2 linked regions of the Oryzias latipes genome follow. The protein of the gene in region 1 interacts with the protein of each later gene in a pairwise test. Links are inferred from orthologs where the notes say so. Each region holds a gene or a part of one and is shown in the gene's direction. Other genes may lie near its edges.

Region 1 (5,391 bases):
AATTCAACCAGTGAGACTTAGAAATAAATACCCGGTACTGAACAGAGCAGGTGAATTTTTCCACATTTCTTGTATTTCTTGCAAGATAATAAAGTGTCAATTAAATATGTGAACAAACAAACAAGTAAGCAAAAATTTATGCCAAATCTATTCACATTTTAATTTCATAAAGTTCAGTCCAATGTTGCTTTTCCACAATAAAAATAATACAAACGGAAGATTATTAGAACATTCTACTGTATGGTCAACAAAATTCAAAGTGTTTCCATAAATTGGACTGTAATGATGGTTTGATCATTTTTTGCTGCCATTACACACGTTTTGTCCGCTGTGATGGCACTTGGTCGTTTTTACGTCATAGTAAAATTAACCTACCATGTCTCAATCCAAATGGTATTTTCCAATATCAAGAATTCATTTATGTAATTTTAAAAAGATTTTTAACTGTATAGGTCAATTTGATTTGATTCAATGAACTTGCCTCTGACAGATCAATCTGGTTGGATCCTAGGAACAGAAATTGATTAATCGATTAATTGATTAATCGTTACATCCCTAGTCCTGAAGGTGATGGGAAATGTTTGCACTGAAATAAAGTAAGTCAGATTGACAAAGCTGGAACATGAAGCTACATCATGACGGCACAAACCGGCAAACAGGAGCACCATCAGCACATAGGATATGTGAAATGTCCATCAGCTCCATCAGAAATGTTCCCTTCTTTTATCCATCTATCCATCTTCAGGGTCACGGGGTTGCTACTGCCAACTCAGCAACTATTGTGTACACCCAGAACAGCTTGCTAGTCTGTTGGAGGGCCACACACTCACACACTCAGATGCAAACCTAGGGACCTTGGGGAAATTTAGAGTCACCAAATAATCTTTTAAAGCAGGATTTTTGGCTGTGGGAAGAAGACAGAGTGCCATAAGAAAACATGGAAACTCCACAAAGAAAGGTCCCAGCCAGGATTCAAACTAGGGCCTTCTCTCTGGGAAATATTATTTTCTCTTCTTTTATTGTTATCGTATTTTAATAATTGCAATAAAAATTGTAATTTAAAACAAAAACTAACACCAGCAACCATTTGGTCAATGACTGAATGTTTTTGGATCAGTAACATCCAGGTGCACATTAGGGGTCAATCTGCTCTCCTTAATACCTGCTCAGACCCATCCCAAATCATTCCATACATGATAACCTTTCACTCATAAAAAAAGCCCCATCACAACACATTATTTCACACATTATTTCACTGTGGTAATCAAGTCAAGTCTGACTGACACAAATACAACAATAGGCTTTATTGAATCTACATTCTCAGTATATGCTGTCAATTGGAATCCTAAAAACTATTGCTTTTAATACACGCTTAACAAAATATAATATGGTTGGAAAACTCTGTTTTTTTTATGTAAATGTCTGCAGGACATCAGTGTGTGTAAAAAATGTTATTGATTTCTTAAAATAGGCCCAAATTTTATAGAGTTCTTCAGATTTTACATTACTACAGAACAAAAAATTTCTTCCCAGTAGAAAATCTATGTTTGCCATATGAGCAAAATGTGTGTGTTTAGTTGTGTGAGTCTGCTTCAATGATGAGTTAAACTATTTGAAAAAAAACACCTTAAATGGGAAAAGCTCTGTCTCTGAATCTCTTTTCGTGTTGGTTACATATTTATGACAAAATTCTGCTACAAAAAAGTTGAAAACAGAAATAGAAAAGGCAAAATTAAGTTTTAAGACTCAGATTGATGCTAGGCAAACTTTATTAAACAGTTCCCTGATCACTTAAAACTTTTCTGATCAGAGAGAGCTGTTTTTTTGGGCTCACGAAAGCTTCAGACATGACCCCTTATTAAGTTGTTGCTGCATGCATTATATGAATCTTTGGGTTTGGGAAATTACATGGTTATTATAAATAAAAATTTGTAAAAAATTAGAGCAAGAGGAGTAGGTCATGACATTATTTTTGTTTTAGTAAAAATATCAAACCTTCCAGCAGAACACAAAAAACACGTGTTGGTGCGATCATCATCAGCGGAACTATAAAATGATGTCGTGTTTCCTCCCTACAGCTTTAAGAGACGAACAAAAACACCAGTCCCGTTGGTGCTCACGCCTTTAGGGTCCGTCTTAAAGTTAGTTTTTGTGTGTTTTGCACGTTTGATGCTTTGAGGTTTGAAGCAGCCAAAATTTGCAGGAAGGAAAGAAACGACATACTCAAGTAAATGAGGTTAGTTAACGAGTTTAGTTAACGGAGTTAGTTAACTGCGAGGCTGGCTGTCACAGCACCACGGTGTTATGTGCACGCGTGTTTAGCAGCAGGGCGTTGCTGTTTGGTAAGAAATCAGGTAATTGTCTTGGTATGTGACCCGAGAAGGCTGGGTTACATTAAGCCTAAATTAAAGATGAAGATGGAAGCTCGGTGATGCCATTTAAATCCGTATTGCTCTGTGGTCAGAGAACCAGTCACACATTTGAGTGTTACACTGTAGTTTTTATAATTATCACAACAAAATGTGATACTTGTAAAAATTAAAGGAAAAGTAAAAATTGGAAAGACATTTAACGTGGAAGATGCTGCGTTTTTTTTAAAAGTTGAAATAGTGAACATAAGGAGGGAGGGAGGGAGGGGGGGATGAACATATAAAAATCTTCAAATAAACATATTTTAGTGACGTCACACCCCCTTATTTAAGTAATTAAAAGAAGAAGAATAAGCATATTTGCCATAAAATGTGTTATGACTTTATTAACATACACACTAATTCCATAATACAGTTCACAGACAGCAGTAAGTAGTAAGACGTTCAATCCTCTTCACTCACTCTGTATCCTTAGATTTTTTAATTATTTATAGTGAGGAATGTTTTTGTTTCATAGAGACGTTTTACAAATACTTTTATTACTATATGTAAGCAAAGAAAACAAAATATCATGTTTTTTCACTTTGCTTTTCATTTAAACAAATGAGATGCTTTGTGAAAGGCCAGAAAGTTCTGTGTAGCTAAAATGATTCTACCTGGAAATGAATGGGCCAGTTTCAATATCTCAATAATTCCGCAGATCAAACTGATCAGATGGTCTGCTCCACAACTCTTCCTGTGCTCAGTAATATTGAGGACTTTTCTTCATTTTTCTCTTTACTTTCCTTTAATCCCTGTGTGTTTTTCTGAAGTCATGCTGCTCGTAGATCCAGGAGTGTACATCGGCACTGCAGCTGACCTGAACGACTGCCAGGCGCTCGCTGCAGCTTCGGTCACCCACATCCTGTCTGTGGAATCTGTGGATCCTGGTCCACAGATTCCTGCCACAGGAAACTTCATCAGAAAGTGGATCAATGCTTTAGATGAAGAGACGACTGATCTGCTCAGTTACTTGGACGCCTGCAACATATTCATTGATGAGGCTGTAAAAGGGGGCGGAGCTACACTGGTTCACTGGTAAGAGTCAAATATGGCTTCATTATTCCTTTCTGTGTTTTCCACGCATTCCATCCTTGAATTTATGCAACCATGTGCAATCTGAATCCATTTTGGTGCATGATGACACGACATATAAAAGCACAAAATGCAGAAGGACAACGCTTATTTAAAAACTATTTTTTGTGCACATTAGTCATGCAGGTCGAAGCCGCAGCGCCACCATTGTGACTGCATATTTAATGAAGAAACACCATCTGGCCTTCCCTGAAGCTTACCAAAGACTGAAAAGTGTCAAACAAGATGTTCAGTAAGTATTTGTCATTCCCTTCTCTCCCAGTATGTCTTCTGTTTGTGTTAAGGGTATTTCAAAATTGGCTAGGTCAGTTTGTCAGCATTGTAGGTAAGCAATTGGCTGTGAAAAAAAAGTTTTTCATGTTTCTGTCAATATATTTTTGGAAATTACAGTTAAAAAAAATTCTAAAAGTGCTTCTAGTGGGCTGCTCATTAATAAAAATATTAATTAAACCTATATCAAATGTGGGGGTTCATAAACTCAGCTTTTTTTTTGCTATTAAAGAAAGCTTAACTTCTGTTGAATACATCTTCTGTCACTTTATCACAACAAATGTCAGCAAAAAAAAAGAAAAAGATTTTAGAAGGAGCATGTAGAGAGGAAATCTTTGTCCCATCTGTCTCTTGATTGGCTATGACATATTTTCCTTTGTGGCTGATTTGCCTCCAACATCTACTTTTCAGAAAACTGAAGACTTGAACTGCATTTTCACCAGAAGTGAACATTGAAAAAAGACTGAAGCTTTTATTTAGAAACATAACAGACGTTGAAAGTCAATGTACATGAAAAAAATCAGTTGTTATAAACCTGATAAAGGAATATAGAAGTAAAGCAGGGTAAAAGATTTTATGGGGACTATTTCCATGATTTTTTTTTATCATTTCAGAAAAACAAGTTTAAAAAAATCTTAATAAGTGCATTGTCATGTATACACCAGCAAAAGGTAAAACTGTATTTAAAACAAGAGCTTAAAAGATAACATTTGTTTTTTTTTTGGGTGTGTTTCAGGGTCAACAGGGGTTTTGAAGAGCAGCTGCAGCTGTATGAGTCCATGCTATGTCAGGTGGACACATCTAGTGCTTTGTACAAACAATACAGGCTGAACAAGATTGCAGAGAGATATCCAGGTGAAAGCAAAGCTTTGCTGCTGTGGATGAACACCAGGAGGGAATTCCTTTCCCAACTTTTGTTTCTTATTATTTGTGTATAAGCAGAGTTGCAGCAAGTCCCAAGAGATATTTTTGCTAATGACCCCGCCCACTCCAGCTCCTCCGAGGTGTCATACAGATGCCGGAAGTGCAGGTGAATTGCTTAGAAATATTAGATATGGTAATTAGTGGCTAAATTTTCTTTAGCATAAAAATCTTATTTTTTTATGCTAAAGAGTTTTAAGGCTTTCTTTATTATCGGAGCTCAACAACTAGACTTTCCTTTTAAACTGTTTTAATTTGTTTTAAAGTTTTTGCTCTGTTTTCTGACATCCCGATAAGCTAATGTGTCGATAATTACCCCAAATATTTTAGGTAAAAAAAGCAACAAAGCAGGTACGACAGTGAACTTCTGGGCTAACTTCCTGGTCTTCTTTCTCAGACGAACTCTGTTCCGTGGCTCCAGCATTCTCAGTCATCCCGTAGGCGATGGAGCTTCAGCCTTCAGTCATAAGAAGACCAGCAACCTCTCTGGTAAAGCTGCGTACACAATGGGCATTTGATGAAGACGCATTCTAATTTGAGAATTTAGCCCATGGTGTTCACACTGAACAAGCAGGGAGGGGCTTCTTCCTCTGTTTATTTTTCTGGTTTCTACTTATGCATGTTTGCATAAAAATGGTTGTGAATGCTCGTGCGGCGACACATAAACACAGGAGTATTAAACGCAGAAACCCGAATG
Region 2 (5,322 bases), on another chromosome or scaffold:
AGGATATGCTTGATGGGTTCATCAAAAAATTTGTGCTGTGTGCCGAGTGTGACAACCCTGAAACCGACCTGGTAAGGCTTTACTGCTTCTGCAAGTTTCAGAAGAACTGAGGCGAAAAGGAGTTCAGTTGATGCACTGTTCACCAGAAAATATGTCTGATGGTTCTTTTTTAACCTTCTATAGCAAAGTATCCATTAGTTTTTCAGAAATCAAACTAACAGCTTAGTGTGAAACTCTCAGAAAATAGTCCTGAAATATTTAGTTAACTAGTATCAGCTGTGAAGGTTCGTCTTTTCAGGATTAATTTTGAGTTTGTCTTTTTATTTTAACAGCATGTCAATCCCAAGAAGCAAACCATCGGCACTTCCTGTAAGGCCTGTGGGTACCGCGGCATGCTAGACACTCGACACAAACTCTGCACCTTCATCCTCAAAAATCCACCAGGTGAGACTTTTCCCCAAAGGGGAAGTCCGTGACTGACTAAAGCATTCAGAGGAAATGTCCTTAACACAAAAACAAAAATCCAGATTGTCTGTAATGACTCTTTTTCAAATGACAGAGAGCACCGACAGTGGATCTGCATCTGCTAAGAAAGAGAAGGAGAAGAAGAACCGCAAAAAGGACAAGGAGAACGGCTCCGGCAGTGGCGAGGCGGGAACCCAGGACAGCTTTAATGCTCCTGAAGCTGTGGTGTGTATGCTGCTTCAGACTGAAGCTGGGATATTTTACATGAAGCCAGCAGGGAAACGCCGCCTTTACTACAGCATCTCAATCCTAAAAGAAAACCATTCCAGATGATGCTGCTAGAAAATGACTGGGTTTCTTGTTGGGAAAGAAGGTTGGATCACTTGACTTCATACGGGCTGTAGATTCAGGCCTGGGATTTTAGACATCGACTCTATTCAGAACCCACTGGGAACAAGTCTGACCTCCTTCCAACCGGGCTGGAACAGTTATGCAAACTCCCAAGAACCCAGAACACCGTGTCACACAGACATTACATACATTTAAAATGTATGTAATGTCTGTGTTTCACGATACATGTGCGATGTACGTTATTCATAAGAGTTTCTTGCGTTTGTCGGTGTGCACAGATGTCCGTCGAGGGTTTGGGTCGACGGTTCTTCACATGAATTTGGTTTTGAGTTTTTTTTAAACCTTTGATCGGTTGAGAATTACAGTTTCCGCATATTTAACATAGTTTATACACAATTATGACACACATTTTAAACAATTGTGTGTGTGATTGAGTGTCTTTCCACGACCATTCCACATATGTCTAACAGACTTTTCATGGTCCGACATATAAGTTTTATATCACGGATATGGTGCACGTATAACGTTCTAGTTATGTAATTGACGCACAAATCCCTATTGAATTGCAGATAAACAGCACAGTAATCACACGGTTCGTGTTCTGTATCATTTCTGTGTTCTTTGCATGGTTTATTCCTACTTCTGTGGTTTTGAGGTGATTCCTGATCCATCTGTGAACATTTCTCGTAAAGTGAGGAGTGTTCCTCAGCGTTTCACACGTTCTTTGTCTCTGTGGAGCGAACGTCCTTCAGTCCAGCTAGAACCTCATTAAGGAGTCAGGAAGGTTTTCTCCTCCCTGACCCTCCGGTTGTTTAACGGTTGTCAACCTCCCCGTCTCATGCATCCTTCGTGATGCTCGCAGTCACTGCTTGTCATGTTGCGTCGGACTCTTGGTTTTGAAATGTAAAGGTTACAGTTTTCCTGAGAGCTTTTTCCGCCCCTCAAATCCCATTTCCTGTTCTGATTTGTCCTTCGGTCGTTGAGGATCGGGATGACGACGACGAAGACTGGGCAGAGGAGACTACAGAGGAGGCACAGAGGCGTCGTATGGAGGAGATCAGCGACCACGCCAAGAACCTGACACTGAGCGACGACCTGGAGAAACCCTTGGAGGAGAGGGTCAACCTGTTCTACAGCTTTGTGAAAGTGAGTCTGTTCGGACTGTTAGTTGGAGTAAAATCCTATTTTAAATCAATAGGATCTAAATCCTCCTTCACATGTGTAATCGTGATAACCCGGTACTGGAGGGGAGGGTATCTCAGTGCAGACATTCCAGTCTGATCTGCAGCTCTCTGACAGGTTGAAGGAGCTGAAAATGTTTGATAGAAAACTTCAAATAGAGCAGTAATGTAGAAAACTGTGATATCTTCCTTTAGCAAAAGAAGGAGAGTGGAACCATCGACGCGGCCGACAAGGAGATCTTGGCTGAAGCGGAGCGTCTGGATGTGAAGGCCATGGGCCCCCTCATCCTCAGTGAGCTGTTGTTTGACGAAAACATCCGCGACCAGATCAAGAAGTACAAACGCCACTTCCTAAGAGTGAGTCTCTGAGCAGCCCTCTACAGACGTCCAGTACGGATGGTGGAATCTGACTACTTCAGGCTGATCATGCTAGCTTTAAGATGTTGGTACAGACTCTTTGCCCCTCTCCTCTCTCACGGTTTGATCAATCTTTCCCCAGTTCTGCCATAACAACAAAAAAGCCCAGAAGTACCTGATGGGGGGCTTTGAGTGTGTGGTGAAGCTGCATCAGGTCCAGCTGCTCCCACGTGTTGCCGTCATCCTGAAAGACCTGTACGACGCTGACCTGCTGGAAGAGGACGTCATCCTGTCCTGGGCAGAGAAGGTCGGAGCTCTTCATCCACAGAATGAATGAATGAATGCTTTTATTATTGTAAATAAAACTGTAAATAATTAACTATGATAGTCTTTTACCCAAACCAAAAATTTTTCTAGATTAAATTGGCTTTTTCTTTCATTTCTTCCCATCTTGGGTGGGTGTCTTACTATAACTTCATGTTTGGTTCAAAGACTTTAATGAAGGGAACAATGTTTGCAGATTTTAGTTAATTTTACTAATCTCTTGCACCAGGTTTCCAAGAAATATGTCTCCAAGGAACTTGCCAAAGAAATTCACGCCAAGGCCGCTCCTTTTGTGAAATGGTTGAAGGAGGCAGAAGAGGAGAGCGAGGGGAGCGAAGAAGAGGAGGAGGAAGATGACGAAAATGTGGAGGTACAGTTTAAAAGCAGACGATGCCAATGGGTGGAGTTGAAAACGTGCATGAAATGAATGCAGTTTTAAGAAAGCTGAGTTTTAGCTCAGGAGTCGGTCGTTTCAATATCAAAGAGTTGAGCATTAACATCAGATGTATCCAGCCGTCCAGTTCTGATCCAGATTCCAGCTCAGACCAGGAAAACAAAGACAGGATCACTGTCCTTTTTCCTCGCTGTCACTATCAGCCTTCAGGCTTCTCCTGAAATCCTTTATTTAAACCAAACTCTACAAGAATAATAAATTACATGGAAAGTAGCTGTTTAAAGACCCACTCACATCTATTGGGTGCTGCACACGGACCCAAACTGACCGACTCGGATGTACTCGAATGTTCCCATAAACAAAAACAGTCATATTTGAGGTGGGTTACTGCTGCACACAAACAGGAATAAGACTGTCAGAGTTGCAGAGATTATTATTTATTTATTTTTATTTTTTTTTGGGCGCACCGGTACGACCATGGATTTTTAAGACGGACCATTGAAAAATCCAGTTGCACTTTAGAGCGCTGGCTCCATATTCACATCTATTTGGATCATGAAATACTCAGAAATGCAGTTAGTAGAATGTTCTTTTTCTTTATTATGTCCTCTATCGTGAGAAAAAGACTGCATTAAAAACACCCAAATCACTATTTTCATCAGAGAGGGTCTTCAAGATCGGAAATGCAACATCTCTTTAGAGCTCAAGGCTGAACTTAGTGTGATGGCAGTCTGGGGTCTGGGGTCCAGACCGGGGTAACTTCTTGCGATTTAGTTCAGCATTTCGGTCTTGTGAACCTAAAGGTACTTGTTTACCTGTTGGAGGGTTAACACTTGGTCTCCTCAGGTGGAGACGTCGGTGGGCGTCCATCGTAGTAAAGGTGACGTTCCTTAAATCTGCTGTTTTGCGTCTTCAGGTGGTGTATTCGTCCTCCGCTCGTGAGCTGAAGGTGGAGACGGTCAAACCAGAAACACCCGAGAAGGAGGAGGATGACATTGACATCGATGCAATCTAAGACGGATGTGTATGCTGATGCTGTGACTCATAACGCTCTGTATGACGTATGGAATAGTTTGCCTTTTGCTCCTTTACTACATTTCCCAGACTCCCTTCTGCTTTGTGGCATGATTTCTGTAGCGCTTTTCCTGCTGCACAGTAACTGTAATCCTGACATGTACTCAGTTGACTAAATGAAATTGCTCGGGGGTTAATCACAAGTGTTATGGGGATCATTTTGATTTGCATCTTTGTTTTCTCCTTTGTTTTGGGGAAAGGGAGGTGCTTGTTGTATTTTTCCAGTCAATAAAAATGTTTTGCTATCCACCACACTGTTGTCTTTTCTAAAGGATGACTTGATGTAAACGGTGCTGTATGTATTAGTTAATGCAGGGAAAACAGAACATCGGTTCTGAAACGCTCAGTTTTGGATCAACCTAGACTCTGGGTTCGCATAGAGAAACGCCTTGGGATTGTCAGATGCTAGGGACAGGAAGCTGGTGTTTTCACGCGGGCTTTACCTTCGTGTGCGTCATCCACACCCCTTTTGAAGTGAGTCACGAGGCAGTTTCCTCTCGGCCCGCCGAGGTTCTGGTCGGGCTCACCGGTCCAGTGGGACCGAGGTCAGTAAGTTTTCTCTGCCCGCTCAGTAAAACATGGACGTGGTGCCTTCAAGTACCGTCAGGAGCGCAGAGATTGCATTCAAGTTAAAAAACGTTTTCACATTTTTGTAAACCATTTTTCTCATCAAATTAGTTCAACTGCAACGTTTTTCTAATTAAATTAATGATTATTTTGAAGGGCGAAAAAACAAATACACCACTGACAACAGTTAAAATGCATATATTTTACTTTGTGTGCTGATTATATGTATTCCGTATTTTCACAGAAAAATGCCACTTGTAGTGGGAAATCGTGCTGAATTGGTGTTTTTTAACCCTTCGGAGATTCACGGTTTAGTTATGTCTGACGGTGCAATGGGTCCGTGAACGCATCCTAATCCAGCCCAGCCGCTCAGTAGCCATTTTGGTCCCACCTAAAACAGTCCGAACTGCTTCACTTTAGTCCGCAGGAGATGGGAGAAACAGAACAGACTGCGGGTGTTTCAGCCTTCCGGGGATTTACCTTCTCTCTGCCAAACTCCTACCAGTGACCCTATATCGGTTCTGTTTAATCCGAACTCGGTTTGCGGGAAAAGGGAAGGTTCGGCTATTTTTGTACCGACCGACACAGTCACACAGCGCCTTCGCGTTA

Evidence for each region. The genes of interacting proteins can lie anywhere in the genome.
Region 2: the proteins of dusp12 (region 1) and eif5 interact in binary tests that used the Homo sapiens proteins (3 or more experiments, as listed by UniProt). The two-hybrid records come from large-scale screens. The link is inferred for Oryzias latipes from reciprocal best matches to the Homo sapiens genes DUSP12 and EIF5.

The regions. Positions count from the first base shown.
Region 1 is NC_019875.2:21,142,616-21,148,006, forward strand, and holds the start of dusp12 (dual specificity protein phosphatase 12), read left to right. Parts: upstream 1-2,076; 5' UTR 2,077-2,236; intron 2,237-2,296; exon of another isoform or gene 2,297-2,354; intron 2,355-3,181; 5' UTR 3,182-3,183; coding exon 3,184-3,446; intron 3,447-3,621; coding exon 3,622-3,735; intron 3,736-4,509; coding exon 4,510-4,628; intron 4,629-4,715; coding exon 4,716-4,803; intron 4,804-5,091; coding exon 5,092-5,183; intron 5,184-5,391. UniProt on the Homo sapiens protein: Dual specificity phosphatase; can dephosphorylate both phosphotyrosine and phosphoserine or phosphothreonine residues. Can dephosphorylate glucokinase (in vitro).
Region 2 is NC_019880.2:21,352,206-21,357,527, reverse strand, and holds the end of eif5 (eukaryotic translation initiation factor 5), read left to right. Parts: coding exon 1-71; intron 72-332; coding exon 333-444; intron 445-559; coding exon 560-690; intron 691-1,800; coding exon 1,801-1,962; intron 1,963-2,192; coding exon 2,193-2,354; intron 2,355-2,496; coding exon 2,497-2,661; intron 2,662-2,907; coding exon 2,908-3,048; intron 3,049-3,988; coding exon 3,989-4,087; 3' UTR 4,088-4,398; downstream 4,399-5,322.